Arabidopsis thaliana: one gene and its partners. The protein of the gene in region 1 interacts with the protein of each later gene in a pairwise test. Each region holds a gene or a part of one and is shown in the gene's direction. Other genes may lie near its edges.

What was found. The genes of interacting proteins can lie anywhere in the genome.
Region 2: the proteins of CID4 (region 1) and PAB3 interact in a two-hybrid assay, tested with the Arabidopsis thaliana proteins (one large-scale study listed by BioGRID).
Region 3: the proteins of CID4 (region 1) and PAB8 interact in a two-hybrid assay, tested with the Arabidopsis thaliana proteins (one large-scale study listed by BioGRID).

What each region holds. Positions count from the first base shown.
Region 1 is NC_003074.8:4,634,663-4,641,646, forward strand, and holds CID4 (CTC-interacting domain 4), read left to right. Parts: upstream 1-1,629; 5' UTR 1,630-2,391; coding exon 2,392-2,394; intron 2,395-2,480; coding exon 2,481-2,598; intron 2,599-2,672; coding exon 2,673-2,828; intron 2,829-2,925; coding exon 2,926-3,062; intron 3,063-3,191; coding exon 3,192-3,382; intron 3,383-3,799; coding exon 3,800-3,977; intron 3,978-4,060; coding exon 4,061-4,276; intron 4,277-4,344; coding exon 4,345-4,445; intron 4,446-4,530; coding exon 4,531-4,591; intron 4,592-4,704; coding exon 4,705-4,735; intron 4,736-5,016; coding exon 5,017-5,264; intron 5,265-5,346; coding exon 5,347-5,502; intron 5,503-5,578; coding exon 5,579-5,656; coding exon of another isoform or gene 5,657-5,662; exon of another isoform or gene 5,663-5,735; intron 5,736-5,768; coding exon 5,769-5,873; intron 5,874-5,996; coding exon 5,997-6,029; 3' UTR 6,030-6,464; downstream 6,465-6,984.
Region 2 is NC_003070.9:8,053,502-8,059,571, forward strand, and holds PAB3 (poly(A) binding protein 3), read left to right. Parts: upstream 1-1,823; 5' UTR 1,824-2,097; coding exon 2,098-2,401; intron 2,402-2,915; coding exon 2,916-3,697; intron 3,698-3,789; coding exon 3,790-3,867; intron 3,868-3,953; coding exon 3,954-4,043; intron 4,044-4,134; coding exon 4,135-4,431; intron 4,432-4,502; coding exon 4,503-4,718; intron 4,719-5,082; coding exon 5,083-5,298; 3' UTR 5,299-5,559; downstream 5,560-6,070. UniProt on the Arabidopsis thaliana protein: Binds the poly(A) tail of mRNA. Appears to be an important mediator of the multiple roles of the poly(A) tail in mRNA biogenesis, stability and translation. In the cytoplasm, affects both translation and mRNA decay.
Region 3 is NC_003070.9:18,414,808-18,420,622, forward strand, and holds PAB8 (poly(A) binding protein 8), read left to right. Parts: upstream 1-1,667; 5' UTR 1,668-1,932; coding exon 1,933-2,227; intron 2,228-2,558; coding exon 2,559-2,677; intron 2,678-2,813; coding exon 2,814-3,470; intron 3,471-3,555; coding exon 3,556-3,633; intron 3,634-3,734; coding exon 3,735-3,824; intron 3,825-3,915; coding exon 3,916-4,050; intron 4,051-4,127; coding exon 4,128-4,322; intron 4,323-4,410; coding exon 4,411-4,614; intron 4,615-4,703; coding exon 4,704-4,946; 3' UTR 4,947-5,304; downstream 5,305-5,815. UniProt on the Arabidopsis thaliana protein: Binds the poly(A) tail of mRNA. Appears to be an important mediator of the multiple roles of the poly(A) tail in mRNA biogenesis, stability and translation.

The sequences.
Region 1 (6,984 bases):
AACTAGTCGTTTAAATTATTTTAAATCAACTGCATTCAAATATGAATGCAAAAACCTAAAAAGGAATATTTACGAGTCTATATAATGTCAGATTTGGTCACAGGAGCGCCGTGAAGCAACGGGCGAGAATTAACTACACTCTGTGGAGTTTCTTACCATACACTATTTTACAATTCGTAGTTAATGTTTTTAGTTTTTTTTTTGGCTTGCTTTCTCTATTTTTTTCACTAATACAGCTGAAACATTTTTTTAAATTAGGACAAAAGAAAACAGTTTTTATAGCAATGAATGATCAGATCCGATACTGCAAAATATAAATTAATTTAATTTTTACCATACCACGTGAATGATCTGTGTTTTCTTGTTTGATATTGTTCTTTCTCTTTCCATTTTAATGTTAGCTCGTATCTTATAGCTATAACTATGACCTATCCGTTACAAATAATACTTTATGATGATCTCTCTTTCACCCCATGTTAAATTGAACATAATACTCGTATAGTCTTAAGATTTCTGTCTTATCTTTTTCAAGTGTATGTTCCAACCAGGTATCGTGGTCTGGTGGTAAAGGAACCTCGACTGAGACGTCCGACACCCGGATTCGATTTCTGGTCACCAGAGAATTAACATGCGGATTTGCTCTAGCGCCTCAGACCACCAGTTCCAGGGAGCCATTAAGTAGATGTTTAAAAATTCCTGGTCGCGGGCTTAAACCCAGTGGACTAGTCAGATCACTGTGTGGTCTGGACACTAAGTTGTCAAAAAAAAAAAAAAAAAGTGTATGTTCCATTGCTAATTAGAGAGGTACAACTTTGAAAAGTGTAATGTTTCATACATGTAACTCTTATACTTTTTATTGGCCACACCAGTTTTTTTGTATTTCATCATTTTAATAATATTTCAGAATTCTCCAACTAATCCATGTTTAAGTAATTTTGGAGTATTTTTCTAGTGATGCTTTTCTGATTATATATTTAATTTGATCAATTATGATCATTAGTATTTATGCCTAGCTTTATGGTGACAAATAGCATATTGCACCTTAGAAACTGAAAAAAGGTATAAAGTGATTTTATCAAAAATAAAAACAAGTGATGATGAGACATGCAAATGAAGCATGTAATATTTAGATTCAAGCTTGTTATTATTAAATAATCATTTAAACTTTATAGAGTTGTTTTTCCAACTAAGCCTATTAATGCTTTTTCCCCCAACCTTTTCTGTCTCCTTCAAGGCTTAAGCACTTTCATTATAACCCATTTTGAAAGTCAAGTTAACATTATCCCCATCATTAAGCAAACCATACCCTTTTAAAAGTTCATTTCGAATTTGAAGTATCCTTTGCTTCAGGTTACTTGCTTTTACAAAAACTCTTTATTCTTGCTGATTTCTTTCCACAAATGAAATAAAGGTAAATTACAATCGAAGGCTTGATCCTTTATGTTTTATGTGTGTTAAAAGATTTAGAAGTTCTTAATGGCTAAGGTAAAATGATCGATCAAAGAAAAGAAAGAAAAGACAGAAAAAGAAAACATAAAAGCTTGACATTCAAAAGTTGAGGCCTATAAAGTTTCTCAAACTCAGTTTATAGCCCATGTTGAGCCCATTAAGGCCCAAATATAGTTGTACCATGCACTTGCCCGTAGGTGATTGGTACTCTACACAACGATCTGTTTCGTGTAGCTAGCTGTTCTTTCCTTTCATGATTTTGCTTCCTGCGGAAAATCAAAGAGTTAGCTCAGCTCCGATCACTCTCTCCGATTATCTTTCGCTCTTTAGATTCATGGTGAATCGTTTACCGTCACTCTCTCCTCGTAAACCCTAGCTCTCTCCGAAACCCTAACTCGCTGCGTTGGAAACTAATCGAGCTCGTCCCTCTCCTTTCGGAAGCATTTCTTTAATCGGTGTTGCAGAGGCGTTTTGGTTTCTGATCGGGTTAGCTTTCTGAGGTAAATATCCTCTTCTTCGATTCTTATATCTGGATTTTTAGTTTATCTTCATTGCTTCTTTATTCTTCCGCGTTATTGGGAATTTGATGATTTAGGGTTTGTTTTACTGGAATACCTAGCTCTAGCTCGAATACGTTGGAGATCCTATTTCATGATTGCAGATGATTGTATCTTTGATTCACTGTTATGCCTTCCTTTTTTTGCGTCTGTTTGTGCTGAAAACTCTTTGATTTTGTTTCCATTTCTTAATTGTTTGTGCTGCGGATTAATGGTTGAAATCAACACTATCTTTCTTTCTTTCATCCACAACGTTTTCTAGACTAATCGGCATGTTTGATGAATGAAGCCAAGCAAGTGTTGTTTTATGTTTATTTTTCTGTAATGGCGATGCGAGGCTGTTCACTGATTGTATTTTGCTGTTAGATAGTAATCATCGGTTTCAATGGTAACCTTCTATTTATAGTTTCTGCGTCAGTTGAGCAATTACGAATGTCATGGGTTTCAATAACTGTTTTTTTTTACCCTTGTTAGTTAGAACAGTCTAAGGCTGCAATGAGTATTCCTCAGTCGAAATCTTCATCAAATGGATTTCCACTCAAAAGAGGTGAAACAGAGGAAGTTTTACATAAGACAAATACATCAAATACAGGTTAGCTGTTGATATTCTGTGATTTATGTGCAACGTCATATTCTGAGTCCTCATGCATGTTGATATGTATTCAGTATTCAATGGGGAAGCTGGAAGCTTGAAGAGGCTTTCACTTGATCGGTTAGTGTACTTCACAACATGTAAGATCGGGCATCATGTGGAAGTGCATCTAAGGAATGGATCAGTGTATACCGGTATATTTCATGCTGCCAATGTAGAGAAGGATTTTGGTGAGGCTCTGAATCAGAATTTTTTTCCTTATAGAGCTGCACATACAAATTCACACTACTTTTTCTTGCAATGTATAAAATTGCTTGAAACTTCCAGGAATCATTCTAAAGATGGCATGCTTGATTAAAGACGGTACTTTACGAGGACATAAATCCCGTTCCGAATTTGTCAGGAAGCCGCCTTCCAAGACATTCATTATTCCGGCAGATGAACTTGTGCAAGTTATAGCTAAGGTGTGCCTGCTTTTATAAACTGAAGGGAAATATTTATTGTTTTAAGTTTATGTCAATGTGTTATATTGCAGAGAGACTACTTTGAGTTTTGACATTGTCATTACTTTATATCATTGATTTTGGTGTTAGGATCTCTCTGTATCCTCGAACAACATGTCAAATGCGGTTCAGGGTGAGAAACCATCGGAGCTGTTGACAGACTCTTCTATATCACAGTCTTATCATGTTGATCGGGAAAGGCAGCTGCAACGCTGGGTACCTGATGAGACTATTCCACACGGTGCAGATTTGGAGAATGTGTTTGATAACCCTTGGAATAGGTAATATACGCACACACACACACACACGCACATATATATTTAAATTTTTTGTCAAATTTATACTTATTGAATGTTTGGTATGTTGATTTGTCAGCTAGATTTTCAGATCACGGTTTCTTAGCTGACCAATTTAGATGAGAGATGGTGGGAATGAATAGATTATGTTTGTGCTTGCACTTTAGAAATTCCGTATATTCCTTTTGGAAAGCAATTCTCTTTCTATATCTAAAGCTAGAATTCTACTATTTAGTGAAAGCATATATTATATTGTGAGGAACAGCCCATGGTGAATGTCTCAAAGATTAGGAAGAATATTGTTTTGATAGTTATGTTTCTTATATATGAGTAATCTTTGCTGTGTGGTTACCTGTCTTTTCTGTCCTTGATATCTCTCAGCTGATCCGTTTCTGCTTGTAGGAAATGGAATCAGTTTGAGGTGAATAAGTCACTGTTTGGAGTAAAAAGCACTTTCGACGAGGACCTCTATACCACAAGACTTGAGAGAGGTCCTCAGACTAAACAGTTGGAAGAGCATGCCCAGAAGATTGCGAGAGAGATCGAGGCTGAGACTACCCGAGATATTCATGTAGCAGAGGTAATTTGGGGGTTTGATTTCACCTTGATTCCTATGTTTTTTTGGTGTTATAAGTTTAAATTCGTAACTATTCATGCATGCAGGAAAGAGGCCTTCAGCTTAATGAGAACTTTGATTTTGACGAGGAAGCCAGATACTCATCTGTCCGTCCAGTCACTGGATTTGGTGATAGTGGGTTTGATTTGGAGGACAACGCATTGCTGGATACTTGCAACGATCTGACTTTTGGTGGCTCATCTACTTCTGATGGCCAGAAGCCAGCTTCTAGTGGCAAGGGCTGTGAAGAATTACGGGTATCGGTGAGTTCGTCTTTGATAGTAGTTAATAGCTGAACGAGTTGGTGATGTTGCTATTCATTTTCTTTCAGGGTGACAGTCAGTCTTCTCGGAAAAATAAAAATGTAGATCAAAGCTGCTCAACCTCTAAACAGCAATCCAAAGATTTTCCTGCCGCAGGCAGCAATATCAGGTCTTATTTTTCTTGCAATTAAGCTACACATCTGGAAAATCATCTAAAATATATCTCACATTGGGAGTTCCTCTTGGCATAATAGTGAGAGCCAGCTAGATGAGCAAAGAAGAAAGAATAACGAAGAGGTTTCACACAATAACAGAGTAATGACAAGTCCATGTTGATTATGCCGTTTAATCATGATTGCATTTTGCGTTTCATTGTTGTTCTATAATTTTTAACATTGGTTATTTGGCTTCCTTCTGTATTAACATAGTCAGCTGAGGAATCAACTTCTGGTCATGGAGGTATACGCTACTTTCATTTTTATTAACATACGTGTTTTCTTGTTGTATACGATGAATTACCTTTCATTTTTACTAGCATGACTCCAGTTTTTCTTGATCTGACGCTATAATTTATTATCACGTTTATCTCAATGGACAATCTATGGTGGATTCTGTTAAGGTTGCTAAATGGAATTTAGAAATGTTCTTTTTTACACAAGGAGTGGTGACCTGTTATGAAACGTCCATCTAATTAGGAAACTGGTTGTAGGCTTTATGTAAATATGTATTGTGGAATGTAGATATCAAAGAAGGTGCAAAATCTGGTGGTGGTGCATCCTCGGTGTCTAAGGCTGTTACTGAGAGAGAAAGAGAAGCCAGTCAAGTTTCTAGTAAAACAAAATCTGAAAGCTCTTTCGGGCAGTCTGCTTCTAGAAGTTCAGAAAGTCGCCCAGGTCCTTCAACATCAAGTCGTCCTGGGCTATCACCGAGCTCGTCAATTGGTTCTATGGCCTCATCAGAAAAGTCCACACTGAATCCGAATGCAAAGGTATTTTGTTTGATGTTCAAACTTGATAAAGTGTTAACTGTGTGTGTGTTTTTACTAATTATGGGTCGTTGGGTCTGATCAGGAATTCAAACTCAATCCAAAGGCTAAGAGTTTCAAACCATTGCAGTCAGCTGCTGCACCACCTCAATCTCCAATCGCAGATGCCTCATTCTACTACCCTGGTCCTAGTCATGTTCCTGTTCAGCAGATGCCTGGAATGCCGCCTGTTAATTACGGAGTAAGTTCCGTTTGTTATATATTATATAAACCCAACCGAGTTATGTTTTCAAAACTCACCATGTGAAAATTGGCAGCTCCCGCCATATCCTGGCAACCAACCACAGATGATGTATCATCCTCAAGCCTATTATCATCCAAATGGACAACCTCAGGTTTGACAGTAACACACAAGCCCTATTGAATTACTATTCCCACACACATACACAAAAAAAAAAAAAAAACATCAAAAGTCTAATGGTGATTGGAATTGGAATTGTGATGTAGTACCCACAGCAGCAAATGATACCTGGTCAGCAGCAGCAGCAAATGATACCTGGTCAGCAGCATCCTAGGCCAGTTTATTACATGCATCCTCCTCCTTACCCGCAGGTTATTATTTTTGCTAATAGTAGATTCCCTCTTTTTGTTCTTTTTTTATTTTTCTTTTACATAGTCGAAGAGTTAAAACTTTTGGATGCTGAAATCTCATCTCTGTATGTGTGTGTTTTGCAGGACATGCCATATCATAATAAAGGACGAGAGTAATAACTACTACTACCCGATGGTGATGATGTTTTTTTTTTTTGTGAAGGAAGTGTACGAACCCCTCTCTGGTTTTATCCACTCTCCCTTACCCAATCACTGAAACCATTTTCTTCTCTTTTTTAGATTCGCCTACTGATTTTGGTATTTCGTGTTGAAAACAAAAAGAAAGAAAAAAAGAAAGAAAAAAAACGATCTATCTGAAGTCTGTAGTACTGAGTGCACTCTCTCCTTTTTTTTGGCTGTATCAGAGATATAAAATTTAGAGTGTAGGTTGCTCTCATGCGTCTTTTACTTCGTCGTCTGCATATTTTTTTGTGTGTGTTGTGCTAAATTTCTGGGTGATTTTGTTATCTAAAATCCAAAAAGGATGCGGTTTAGATGAAAAGAATAGAAGAGTAACAACGATTTCAAAGCAGGCAGAACTAGTCATTTTTGGTGTTGTTGTAGGGCATGCTTTTTTCAATAAGTCGTTAAACGTTACTATAAGTAGTTGTCTCGCGATTATTATCATGATGATCGATATGACTCGGTGTATATGATTTGGTGGGCAACACATTCATGTTTTAAGATTCCACAAGAAAAAAATAAAATGGAATCAAACCTAGTTTTACCAGTCGCATATATTATTAGGTTAGGTGACTGCATTGAGTTGTTTATTTTTTACTTTTTTACGAGTCTCTCTCAACATTTATTGTTTTTGCTTTAAAGTGGAGATTTTAACCGTGGCTTGAGCTTGACACTTACGAATGATGTTGGGTCACCAATCTTCATCTAGAATTTACCTTATAATCACTTAGTTCAATTGCGAATCATGTTTTCGATGTATTTTCAACAACTTTTCACGAAACCAACTAACATATTTTACGGTCATCCGCTATGATAGAAAAACCGATGAATTTGCTAAGTTTGTTTCTTTCTTTTCAGTATGGATACCGAAATGAGACAAGAAAACAAC
Region 2 (6,070 bases), on another chromosome or scaffold:
TAAAAAGATTACATTTCACAACTTATATACAATTGAAAATAGAGAACATCTTAACAATATCCCTATAGTAAATTTTCTTTTAGTCAACTATTTAAAGATTTCAAAATGGTTTATTGTAATCCATGTGATCCGGTCAAAGAATCCAAAATAGTTTAATATCTCTATTTATAGTAGAAGAAAAATAACTAGCTACACAAAATATCGGAGAATGCATGATCACACATGTCAAGCATATTAGTGTATCCCTAGCTATACGAAGTAGATGTATTGTATGACCACATATCTGAACTATACGACGTCATGTAGTTAACACCACAGACATGCAATTCCGGTACACTAATAAATTTACTCCGTTGAAGACCAGTGTTGACCGGCATAGTTGAGGATACTATAGTATAATTGGCATGGGTAAATTAACTAAAAATCATCAATCCATTTATCATAATCCAAATTCTGGTCAAAAGAATCTAAAAATAGTTTCATAAAAATAGTTTCATGTTTCTGTTTACAGTAATAAAATTGATATCTTAGTCATGACCAAATCAATAGCCGCAAGTTATGCTCCCAAAAATTAGCTGTTCATCTTTTACTCCAATCAAAAACATAAAAAAAAAAAAACAATTACAATTTCTATTCTAAGTAAATGTTAAATAAATTTATTAAATTTTACCTCCTAAGACTTCAGTGGTTACACTATTAGAAAATAATTAGATTTGTGTGCCTAAAAGCCTTAGAAGCATGCATTTTTTATGAATAAATAAATTTAGTATTGATTTCGGTATAGAAAATGAAATTAGCAAATTCTTGATATGTGTAACTAAAATAAAATCTTATGTAAAAAACAGAAGCGATAAAGGCAAACATAATTCAAAACTGCGACCAATTCTTATTATCAAAGATTTATGAAACACCAATTAGCTATTAATAGTAAAAATCAAGTGACACTTTCCCTATACTAAATTGTTAATTGTTCGGATTTATAGGCTTAGCTAGTTAAGTATAAATATTAATCCACACTCTTCACACTAATTCAATTTTATCCCTAATAAAAAACTTGAATCTATATATGTGTATCAATATATGTGTATGATATTTAAAGGGGTTTGTAGTCTATTGAAATAAATAAAAGATTCCATTATCCATGATTTTTAATAAGTTACTTCGTAGCATTACTAAACCTATTTACATCATCAACAATACAACTGATTTAATTTCAACTAACTAAAAAATTACCAATTTATTTATCATAAATTCATAATCTAATATCTGGTCAAAAGAATCTAAAAATAGTTTCATGTGTCTATTTATAGTAATAAGATTGATATCTTAGTAATGACCAAATCAATAGCCGCAAATTTTGCTCTGAAAAATTAGTTGTTCGTCTTTACTCTAATCAAAAACATAAATAAAAAATCACAATTTTTATCCAAAGTAAATGTTAAATCAATTTATTAAATTTTAGCTCTTAAGACCTCATTAGTTATATTATTAGAAATTAATTAGATTTGTGTGCTTATAAGCCTTAGAAGCATGCATTTTTTTATGAATAAATAAATTTAATGTTGCTTTCGATATAGAAAACAAAATTAGCACATGCTCGATAAGTGTAACTAAAATAAAACCTCATGTAATAAAAAAAGAAATAAAGGCAAACATAATTTAAAACTGCGACCAATTCTTATTATCAAAGATTCATGAAATATTCAATTAGCTATTAATAGTAAAATCAAGTGACATTTTATTTATACTAAATTGTTAATTGCTCGGTTTTATAGGCTTAGCTAGTTATGTATAAATATGCATCCACACTCATCACACTAATTCAATTTTATCCCTCTTTACTCTTCTTGATAATCGGAGGAAACTAAAAAAGGAAAAAAAAAAATCTAAATAAGAATAAAATTCCTAAAAAATAAATAAATCAAAAATTGTGAAGAAACAAATCCTCGAGTCATGTTGTTTACAGAAAATCTCTTTCTCACTTAAAACCCTTACAGAAACAAATCATCGAATCTTTGTTTTTTTAGAATCAGTGATTTTGTTTCCTTTCACGAGACGAAAATAACAAATCGTCTTGTAAAAAGTAAACTCATAATCATGGCGGCGGCGGTTGCCACAGGTGTTGCACCGGCGACAATGGTTGATCAAGTTCCCAGTCCGACGGCGCAGACTTCGGTTCAGGTTCCGGTTTCAATACCTCTTCCATCCCCGGTCGTGGTAGCCGATCAAACCCACCCGAACTCGTCGCTCTATGCCGGTGATCTGGACCCGAAAGTTACTGAAGCACATCTATTTGATTTGTTCAAACATGTTGCTAATGTCGTCTCGGTAAGAGTTTGCCGCGATCAGAATCGTCGATCTTTGGGATATGCCTACATCAATTTCAGTAACCCTAACGATGGTAAATACAATTCTATATCGCTTCAATTGCAAGTTAGGGTTCATGTCTTGCAAAACAAAATATATATATTATCATGAATTGCATTACAATAAGAAAAAGTGTTTTGATTTGATTTTTTTCAATCTCAATTTTTTATTAGACATGGTAATTAATTTTGATCAGTATCATGTTCCTGTGCGAATCATCTTTTTTTTTGTCTAGAAATTAACATATAATCAATATTCTATATTGTAGTTCATCTCTACTATACCATGATTCTGCTACATTGATATGTTTCGTTTGAATATCAAAGCTACAACATTTATTTTAGTAGTTGATGCATCAGTCTCTTATATTATGATTTTTCTTAATTAGTTCAATTTAATACGTGAAATTTGTTTGAAATTGTTCTTTCAATCTCATTAATTGTAGAAACTATAGGTATTTGTGCATTTATAAATATCATAGATGCTGGTTTTCTATAATGAATTGAGATCTTATTTGCCTATGTTTATATGTTGATTTATGTTTGCAGCTTACCGTGCAATGGAGGCCTTGAACTACACTCCCCTCTTTGATAGGCCCATTCGGATCATGCTTTCGAACCGTGACCCAAGCACGCGATTGAGCGGCAAAGGAAACATTTTCATCAAAAACCTTGACGCTTCAATCGACAACAAGGCCTTGTTCGAGACGTTTTCAAGTTTTGGAACCATCCTCTCATGCAAAGTTGCAATGGACGTGACTGGCCGGTCCAAGGGGTATGGATTTGTCCAGTTCGAGAAGGAGGAATCGGCTCAAGCCGCAATTGACAAGCTAAACGGAATGTTAATGAACGACAAGCAAGTTTTTGTGGGACACTTCATCAGACGTCAAGAGCGTGCTCGTGATGAAAACACCCCTACACCGCGTTTCACTAACGTGTACGTCAAGAATCTCCCCAAGGAGATTGGTGAGGACGAGCTACGAAAAACGTTTGGTAAATTTGGAGTGATATCGAGCGCAGTTGTAATGAGGGACCAGAGCGGAAACTCGAGGTGTTTCGGGTTTGTGAATTTTGAGTGCACTGAAGCAGCGGCTTCGGCGGTTGAGAAGATGAATGGAATTAGCTTAGGGGATGATGTGTTGTACGTTGGGAGGGCGCAAAAGAAGTCTGAGAGAGAGGAAGAGCTAAGAAGGAAGTTTGAGCAAGAGAGGATAAACCGGTTTGAGAAATCTCAAGGAGCGAACCTGTATTTGAAGAATCTTGATGATAGTGTTGATGATGAGAAACTCAAGGAGATGTTCTCTGAGTATGGAAATGTGACATCCTCCAAGGTAATAATTAATTAAAAACTCATACATATATTCATAAATATATATGTTGTTGATGTTACGTTGTCTTTGACACAATCCTTTAACTAATGTAGGTTATGCTTAATCCACAAGGAATGAGCAGAGGATTTGGTTTTGTTGCTTATTCCAATCCTGAAGAAGCTTTAAGAGCCGTGAGTTACTAAAACTATAATATATTCTTCTTTTATTGTTCGTCTCTTTTGATATCTGAGAGATTGTTACATATGAGACAATGCAGCTGAGTGAAATGAATGGGAAGATGATCGGAAGAAAACCTCTATACATAGCTCTTGCGCAGCGCAAAGAAGATAGACGAGCACACTTACAGGTTTTTTAAAAACTCTTTTAACATATTTAAAAGAAATGGGTTTGTTAAAGCTATATGTGTGACTAAGTACATAAGTTTGCAATTTTTTCAGGCGTTGTTTTCACAGATTAGAGCACCAGGGCCAATGTCAGGGTTCCATCACCCGCCAGGTGGACCAATGCCCGGTCCACCTCAACACATGTACGTAGGCCAAAACGGAGCAAGTATGGTCCCGTCCCAGCCCATTGGATATGGATTCCAGCCTCAGTTCATGCCCGGGATGCGTCCAGGTTCTGGCCCGGGCAACTTCATCGTGCCTTATCCGCTTCAAAGACAACCTCAGACCGGTCCTCGTATGGGATTCAGGCGTGGTGCTACTAACGTGCAACAACACATCCAACAACAACAAGTATGTTACTAAACTGAGTCTGTTTATAGTTTTCAACAATCATGAAACTGAGTTGGATTGAATATTGACAGCTTATGCACCGTAACCCGTCCCCGGGAATGAGATATATGAACGGTGCGAGTAACGGGAGGAACGGAATGGATTCGAGTGTTCCTCAAGGAATCTTACCTCCTATCATTCCTTTGCCAATAGATGCTTCTTCGATCTCTCACCAGAAAGCTCCTCTCCTTCCAATCTCTAAGCTCACTTCTTCCTTAGCTTCTGCTAGTCCAGCTGATCGCACTCGGGTTTGCCTCTTTTCCTTCCATCTCAGCTAAACATTTCTTTGTTTTGCGTTTTCTTTTGCATTTGGTGTATAACTTTTGAATAATAAACCCTTAACTCTAAACATATGTTTTCAATTGTTGATGCAAAACCAAACGCAAAGAGAGGTCAGTCACATTTGCATTTTATCTTACAAAATATTTCCTGAATAACTGAAAAATGTTTTGGTGAATTTTGTTTCTTAACATCAAATGTTTGAAAGAATTATGGTCTTATAACAAATAAATAAAAGTTAAAGTCACATAAATATATAGTTGATAGAGATTGGCATATCTATATATTTATATGTTTACTGATTTTTATTTTTAAAAAATTGGTTGGGAACAGATGCTTGGAGAACAACTGTACCCACTTGTGGAAAGGCACGAACCACTTCACGTGGCTAAAGTCACAGGAATGTTGTTGGAGATGGATCAAGCTGAGATCTTGCACCTGATGGAGTCACCAGAGGCACTCAAGTCTAAAGTATCCGAGGCTTTGGATGTTCTCAGGCTATCTGTTGATCCAACTGATCATGATCTTGGTTTCTCTACCACCGACTGAAATTTGCAATGCGTTTGCTCAACTCTGTTTTCTTCTTTTAGTTTTGATATCGACTCCTTTTCTTTTCTTTTTTGGGTTTTAGTCTTCCTTTACTATTTTAGCAGTTTTTTTTTGTTTACTTAGTTTATGGTTTTTGTGTCTTTAACTTAGTTTATGGTGTTTTTCTTTTTCTTTGGACAATGATGATTTCTTAATAATCTGAGTAGACTTCTTCTTCCGAATCCCCAAATAATCCATCTCTACTTGAAATTTAAGTTGTTCGGTATTCATGGTCAGCAACAAGGGACAATCCTTCTATTATGGTAGCAGCCTTCTATTATGAATTTATTCGAATGTGTCTACTCATAATTTGTGGTTTGTATTTCAACTTGTAGTTGATATCAATTATATGCACACAGACTTTTTCTTTTTGAGGGGTTGGAAGCAAGCGATTCAATGATTGTACCACTCATTTCATAATAGTGTTTGATATGACGTTAATTTGAATGGTTTATGTTGATCGAAAATACTCTCAGTCACAACAAGAATCTAATTCGATTAATTTATTTGAAAAACATATGTTGGCATGGTACATGAACCAGCTCGTTCATATGAAAATATTTTAAAAAGTCAACATCAGTGCTAATTTCAAATTGACCATACATTAGCACACAAGAAGACTAACAAAAAAAATGAGTGAATAAAGAAGAGAGTGAGTGGGGTTGATACATGTCACCGTCCAAAATGTGTCTGACCCTTCTCATTGGAGCTACAAGAGCCGACCCTTTGCCTC
Region 3 (5,815 bases), on another chromosome or scaffold:
TTATTTTTCTTTTTGAAAGTCACGTAAATGAGGCTTTTAAAACAAATTAAAAGCTTTTCGTTTTCTTCTCTAAACATAATTAAAAGTTCTCTACAAATTACATATTTCTTTTTTCAAAACGTTTTTGATTAATAATTATTATCAAGTTACTAATTTTTTTTTAAGATCCATTTCACTAATAATAATTTTATTTTTTATCATCAACACTAATAAAGTTAGATGTCATTTCATTATCATTAATAAATTTGTTGATTTTATGATAAGTCAAAAAAATCATTCAAAACAGTTTTGAGAAAAAAATTTAGCCATAAGAATCATTCAAGATGAGTATTTTAATTATTAATGTGTTTGGATATTAAGTGTTTGGATATTAAGTGCATGAAACAATAAATATAAATAATGCAATGTTTGGTCTTTTAAAAATGAATGAATAATATATATTTTTAAAAATCAGTAATAAAGTTTTATTGTTACTAATAAAAAATAACAGTCACAGCTTCTACAACTTTGTTTTACCAATCTGATTTTAACAGCCAAAGTCTTTACAGCTAAATTCTTTGTACCTCAAATTTTTAAAGTCAAACCTTCTAAAGCCAAAAATAACGGTCGTTACCAATCTGTTAAAAAAATTTACCTTCTGAATTAGCATAAACTGATTTCGGTATACCATGTTTCAATTTCTTCTGACTGAAAATAGAAGAGATGATATTGTTATTACACATTTCACGCTGAAGAGATACTAAAAACAGTTAGAAAGGCAAAAAGAGTTATGTTCGATCGACTAATTTTAAATTATGCAAGATTGGGCCCAATACAGGCTAGAATTTCGGTCCATAATTTTCCAAGACATCAAGAAACTGGTTCACAAGATTTGTTGGCCCATTTTTAATTATCTACTATCTTTAGCCTCTATTATCCTTGACTGAGGTATGAAGTTGCAACATAACGATTTCGAAACTTCTTAAAACTTTTCTCATAACGCAAGCTAGAAAAGGTTTTTTAAAAAGTCCCCCATGTTTTTAGTTTCATGCATTACATCACATATTCACATGTATGTGGAGAGATAGATAACCAAATTGTTAGATAACTGCATGTTATTTAAAATTTTATGTGTTCTTTTAGAAAAAGAGCACCATTTTATATTTTTTGCAAATTAATCAAAAACTTTACAACTTCTTAGCTATTTTCATAAATTTGCATGGTCATTCAATGGTATTTACTAATAATAATTAAATATGTCTGAACGAACATATTTTTTTTTGACAGTTACTACAGCTATTTCATATTTTATCCTTTTTATACAAAAATCACTTCACTTTCTAATTTACCTTGCAGAAAATTTACTACAGTACATACTAATAATTTTAACAAATTTTCTTAAATAAAACATCACTACACTTACACTGATTCTTGTTTTTCTAATCTCATTAGTAATTACTCCTCATTAGTCTGAATACGGTTATATATTTTTGAGCACAAATACTTTTGCCCAATAAAATAAAATAAAATGGTAAGATATTTCCCAACGCATATTTTATACAAGTGTGTGACCCACAACAAGACACACTACAGTGTAAATCCAACGGCTGAGATTTCTCAAATTACCATCAAAGCTTTTAGGGTTTGGTGAAACCTTCCATATATAAACACTGAAACCTCCAAGTTGTCTTTCCTCTTTGCAGTTTTTTTTCATTTGAGCTTCTCTCTGATAAGGTCACTTCCTCTGACCCTTTTATCTAAGCTCAACGCTGCAACTCTCGCCGTCGGTTACTTCCCCATTTTCCTTCCTTCTTCCGATTCAAAGACTCAATTTTTATTCTCCGGCGTTGAGGATTCATCTCCTAAAAATCTCTGCTTTATCTTTTGATTTGAGCTGATTTGGAGAGGAGAAGAAGATAGATAGATAGGTAATTCGGATTGATATCTCGAAAAATGGCTCAGATTCAGCATCAGGGTCAAAATGCCAATGGTGGTGTAGCTGTTCCCGGTGCTGCTGCGGCTGAAGCTGCGGCGGCTGCGGCTGGAGCTGCGGCGGCGGCTGCCGGAGCTGCGCAGCAAGGGACGACGTCTTTATATGTCGGTGATCTGGATGCGACCGTGACGGATTCACAGCTGTTTGAGGCGTTTACCCAAGCGGGTCAGGTGGTTTCTGTCCGTGTCTGCAGAGACATGACGACTCGGAGATCTCTAGGCTATGGCTACGTTAACTATGCAACTCCTCAAGATGGTAACTTTCTTAAGGCTTATCTGATTTGGTAACTTAGTCGTTGTAGCTCATCTGAATTTGGGGTATGGACTGATGTGTTATATCAAATGCTAATCTAAATTTGGGAGCTTTCTATAAAAAAGGTGAAAGCTTTCAGGTTAATTTGGAAAGTGGTTACATTTGGTAACATTGTGGGCTTTCAGGGTATTTGGCTGTTAGGGAGGATAGTTTTCTTTTGAGGTCATAGAGTTAGAGTTATGACCTCAATGTTATGAGTAGACTCAATGTTATTCTTCTTACAGAAATGAATGATTTGAGTTATGTTGATGTTAATATTTCTGATTGGTGACAGCTTCCAGGGCACTGAATGAGCTGAATTTCATGGCTCTTAATGGAAGGGCTATAAGAGTTATGTATTCTGTTCGTGATCCAAGTCTCCGTAAGAGCGGAGTTGGTAATATATTTATTAAGGTACATATATTAAATCTCTTTTTCCTATTGTCCAAGTTTGAACTTCTATGCAGAGATGGAAAGAAACCTTGGCTTGTTTAATATCCTATCTCAAAGTTTGTTTGTTTATTGACATGGTTTATTATCTGTGTCTCAGAATCTTGACAAATCAATTGATCACAAAGCACTTCACGAGACATTTTCAGCCTTTGGTCCCATTCTATCTTGCAAAGTGGCCGTTGATCCCTCTGGTCAGTCGAAAGGCTATGGGTTTGTGCAGTACGACACTGATGAAGCAGCTCAGGGAGCCATTGATAAACTGAATGGAATGCTTCTTAACGATAAGCAAGTTTATGTTGGACCCTTTGTTCACAAGCTGCAGAGAGATCCTTCGGGTGAGAAAGTTAAGTTCACTAATGTTTATGTCAAAAATCTCTCCGAGTCCTTGAGTGATGAAGAGCTTAACAAAGTTTTTGGAGAGTTCGGAGTGACTACTAGTTGTGTTATCATGAGAGATGGTGAAGGAAAGTCTAAAGGCTTTGGATTTGTCAATTTTGAGAATTCTGATGATGCAGCCAGAGCTGTTGACGCTCTAAATGGAAAGACCTTTGACGACAAGGAGTGGTTTGTTGGGAAGGCCCAAAAGAAGTCCGAGAGGGAAACTGAACTCAAACAAAAGTTTGAGCAAAGTTTGAAGGAGGCTGCAGACAAGTCTCAGGGGTCGAACTTATATGTTAAGAACTTGGATGAGAGCGTCACAGATGATAAGCTCAGAGAACATTTTGCTCCCTTTGGAACTATTACATCATGCAAGGTCCGTGACTGATACAATAAAAAGCGCTGCTTGTTACTATCTTCAGCAGATTTGCATTAAAATGTATTACATTTGAACGTGACAGGTGATGCGTGACCCCAGTGGAGTGAGTAGAGGATCTGGATTTGTCGCATTTTCAACTCCTGAGGAAGCAACTAGAGCTGTAAGTGACTAGAATATAAAGAAGACATGTCAAATTTTGGTGATCTCCTATTCTCTGGAAGGATCTTGATGCTTAACACTGTCTTCTTTTCAATGTTTCAGATTACAGAGATGAATGGAAAAATGATCGTTACCAAACCTCTATATGTTGCTCTTGCGCAGCGGAAAGAAGACCGCAAAGCTAGGTTACAGGTCTGGTTAATTTACCCATGTTGTTATCCTTGAAAAGGATTATCCTAATCCCATGCTTATCGTGCTTAATTTGACCTCTCTGGCATTTTAGGCTCAATTTTCACAGATGAGGCCGGTCAATATGCCACCTGCGGTTGGTCCTAGGATGCAAATGTATCCACCAGGTGGTCCACCAATGGGTCAGCAACTCTTCTATGGTCAAGGGCCTCCTGCTATGATTCCTCAGGTAAAGCTCAAAGCTTTAAGCATAAAACATTTGAGACCAATCTTTATAACTTTCTTCTCCAACTGGGTATCGAACAGCCTGGATTCGGATATCAACAACAGCTTGTACCGGGTATGAGACCTGGTGGGTCTCCAATGCCAAACTTCTTCATGCCTATGATGCAACAAGGCCAGCAACAGCAACAGCAGCAACAGCAGCAGCAGCGACCTGGTGGTGGTAGAAGAGGAGCTCTTCCACAACCACAACAACCTTCTCCTATGATGCAGCAGCAGGTTAAGTTTTGCTTTAGGCCCAAGACTTTCTCCACATGTTTAAAATCGATAGCATGCTTACATTTTGCATCAATCTGTTTCTCTACAGATGCATCCAAGAGGTCGAATGTATCGGTATCCTCAGCGAGATGTAAACACAATGCCTGGTCCTACTCAAAACATGCTTTCTGTTCCATATGACGTCTCAAGTGGTGGTGGTGTGCATCATCGTGACTCGCCTACTTCTCAACCTGTTCCTATTGTAGCTTTGGCTACACGGCTTGCGAATGCAGCTCCAGAGCAACAGAGAACGGTAAAGTCAAATGATTTGTTTCTAACAGCTCGGAAACAACTAAGAAAAATGTGTCTTTCTTAAACCTGTTATGTTTCTTCGTTATACAGATGCTTGGTGAGAATCTATACCCGCTTGTGGAGCAGCTGGAGCCAGAATCCGCAGCTAAAGTCACGGGAATGCTTCTTGAAATGGACCAAACCGAAGTACTTCACTTGCTGGAATCACCAGAGGCACTTAAAGCTAAAGTTACAGAAGCAATGGATGTTCTGAGGAGTGTAGCACAGCAGCAAGCGGGTGGTGCAGCTGATCAGTTAGCTTCTCTGTCTCTTGGAGACAACATCGTACCTTGAGAGTTCTAAGTTATATCTGAAAGAGCTCAGTTTATATACACTGTAAAAGTGTTTATTTTGTTCTTTTGGAGAATCAGAAACAGAGTTGTTCTTGAAAGTTTTGGATTTTTGAGTTTTTGTTTTGGGCGAGAGTTTTAACATTTTCCTTCTGTGTTTTTGATTTTCTTAATACTTTGGGAAGTTTTGTATCGTTACTCTCACCTTTTTTTACCTACACTGCTCATTTGATAGGGTATTGTTTGGCTTTTGTCTAGAGTTTCGACTTTTGGGTATAAAATTTGGTTTAAAAGCTTCGAATGATCAATGTAACAATAAGTTTACAGGGCTTTTCTAGGAAATTATTCTTGCTTCCGAAAACAGACTGGGAGAAATCAAACGGGCCTTGGAATAACCTTATCGACTTAGTTACTGAATTGGCCTTGGCCTGACCATAACAACCTATATCTCATCACGAAACTTGGCCTTTGCTTGGTAAAGTTTAAGCTCTTGGTTTTGATGAGATAAGGTCTCTAGCCGAAAGTGTTACATAATTCATAAGACCCATGCATGTAGTAATATTTGCATTCACATACTTGACAATTGACATACTCGAGTTTTGTTCCATATTCTTCATCGTGTTCTTTGATGGCTGTTTCTATGAGAATTTGAGCAGCTCTTCATTGCTCTGTTTATCATCTATAGATGGTTTCCAGTCAAAGTTAACAACAGATAACACGTAGTTAAAACTATCCTAGTTCACATCAAAACCCTCGCTATCTTCAAATTGTTTGTAAAAAAGCTTTCGTTGTCTCCTACATTCAAGAAGACCAAACCTGGTGGCAGAGGATCAATCTCCTTTGCATCTTGGGAATCGTTGGAAACAGCCGTAT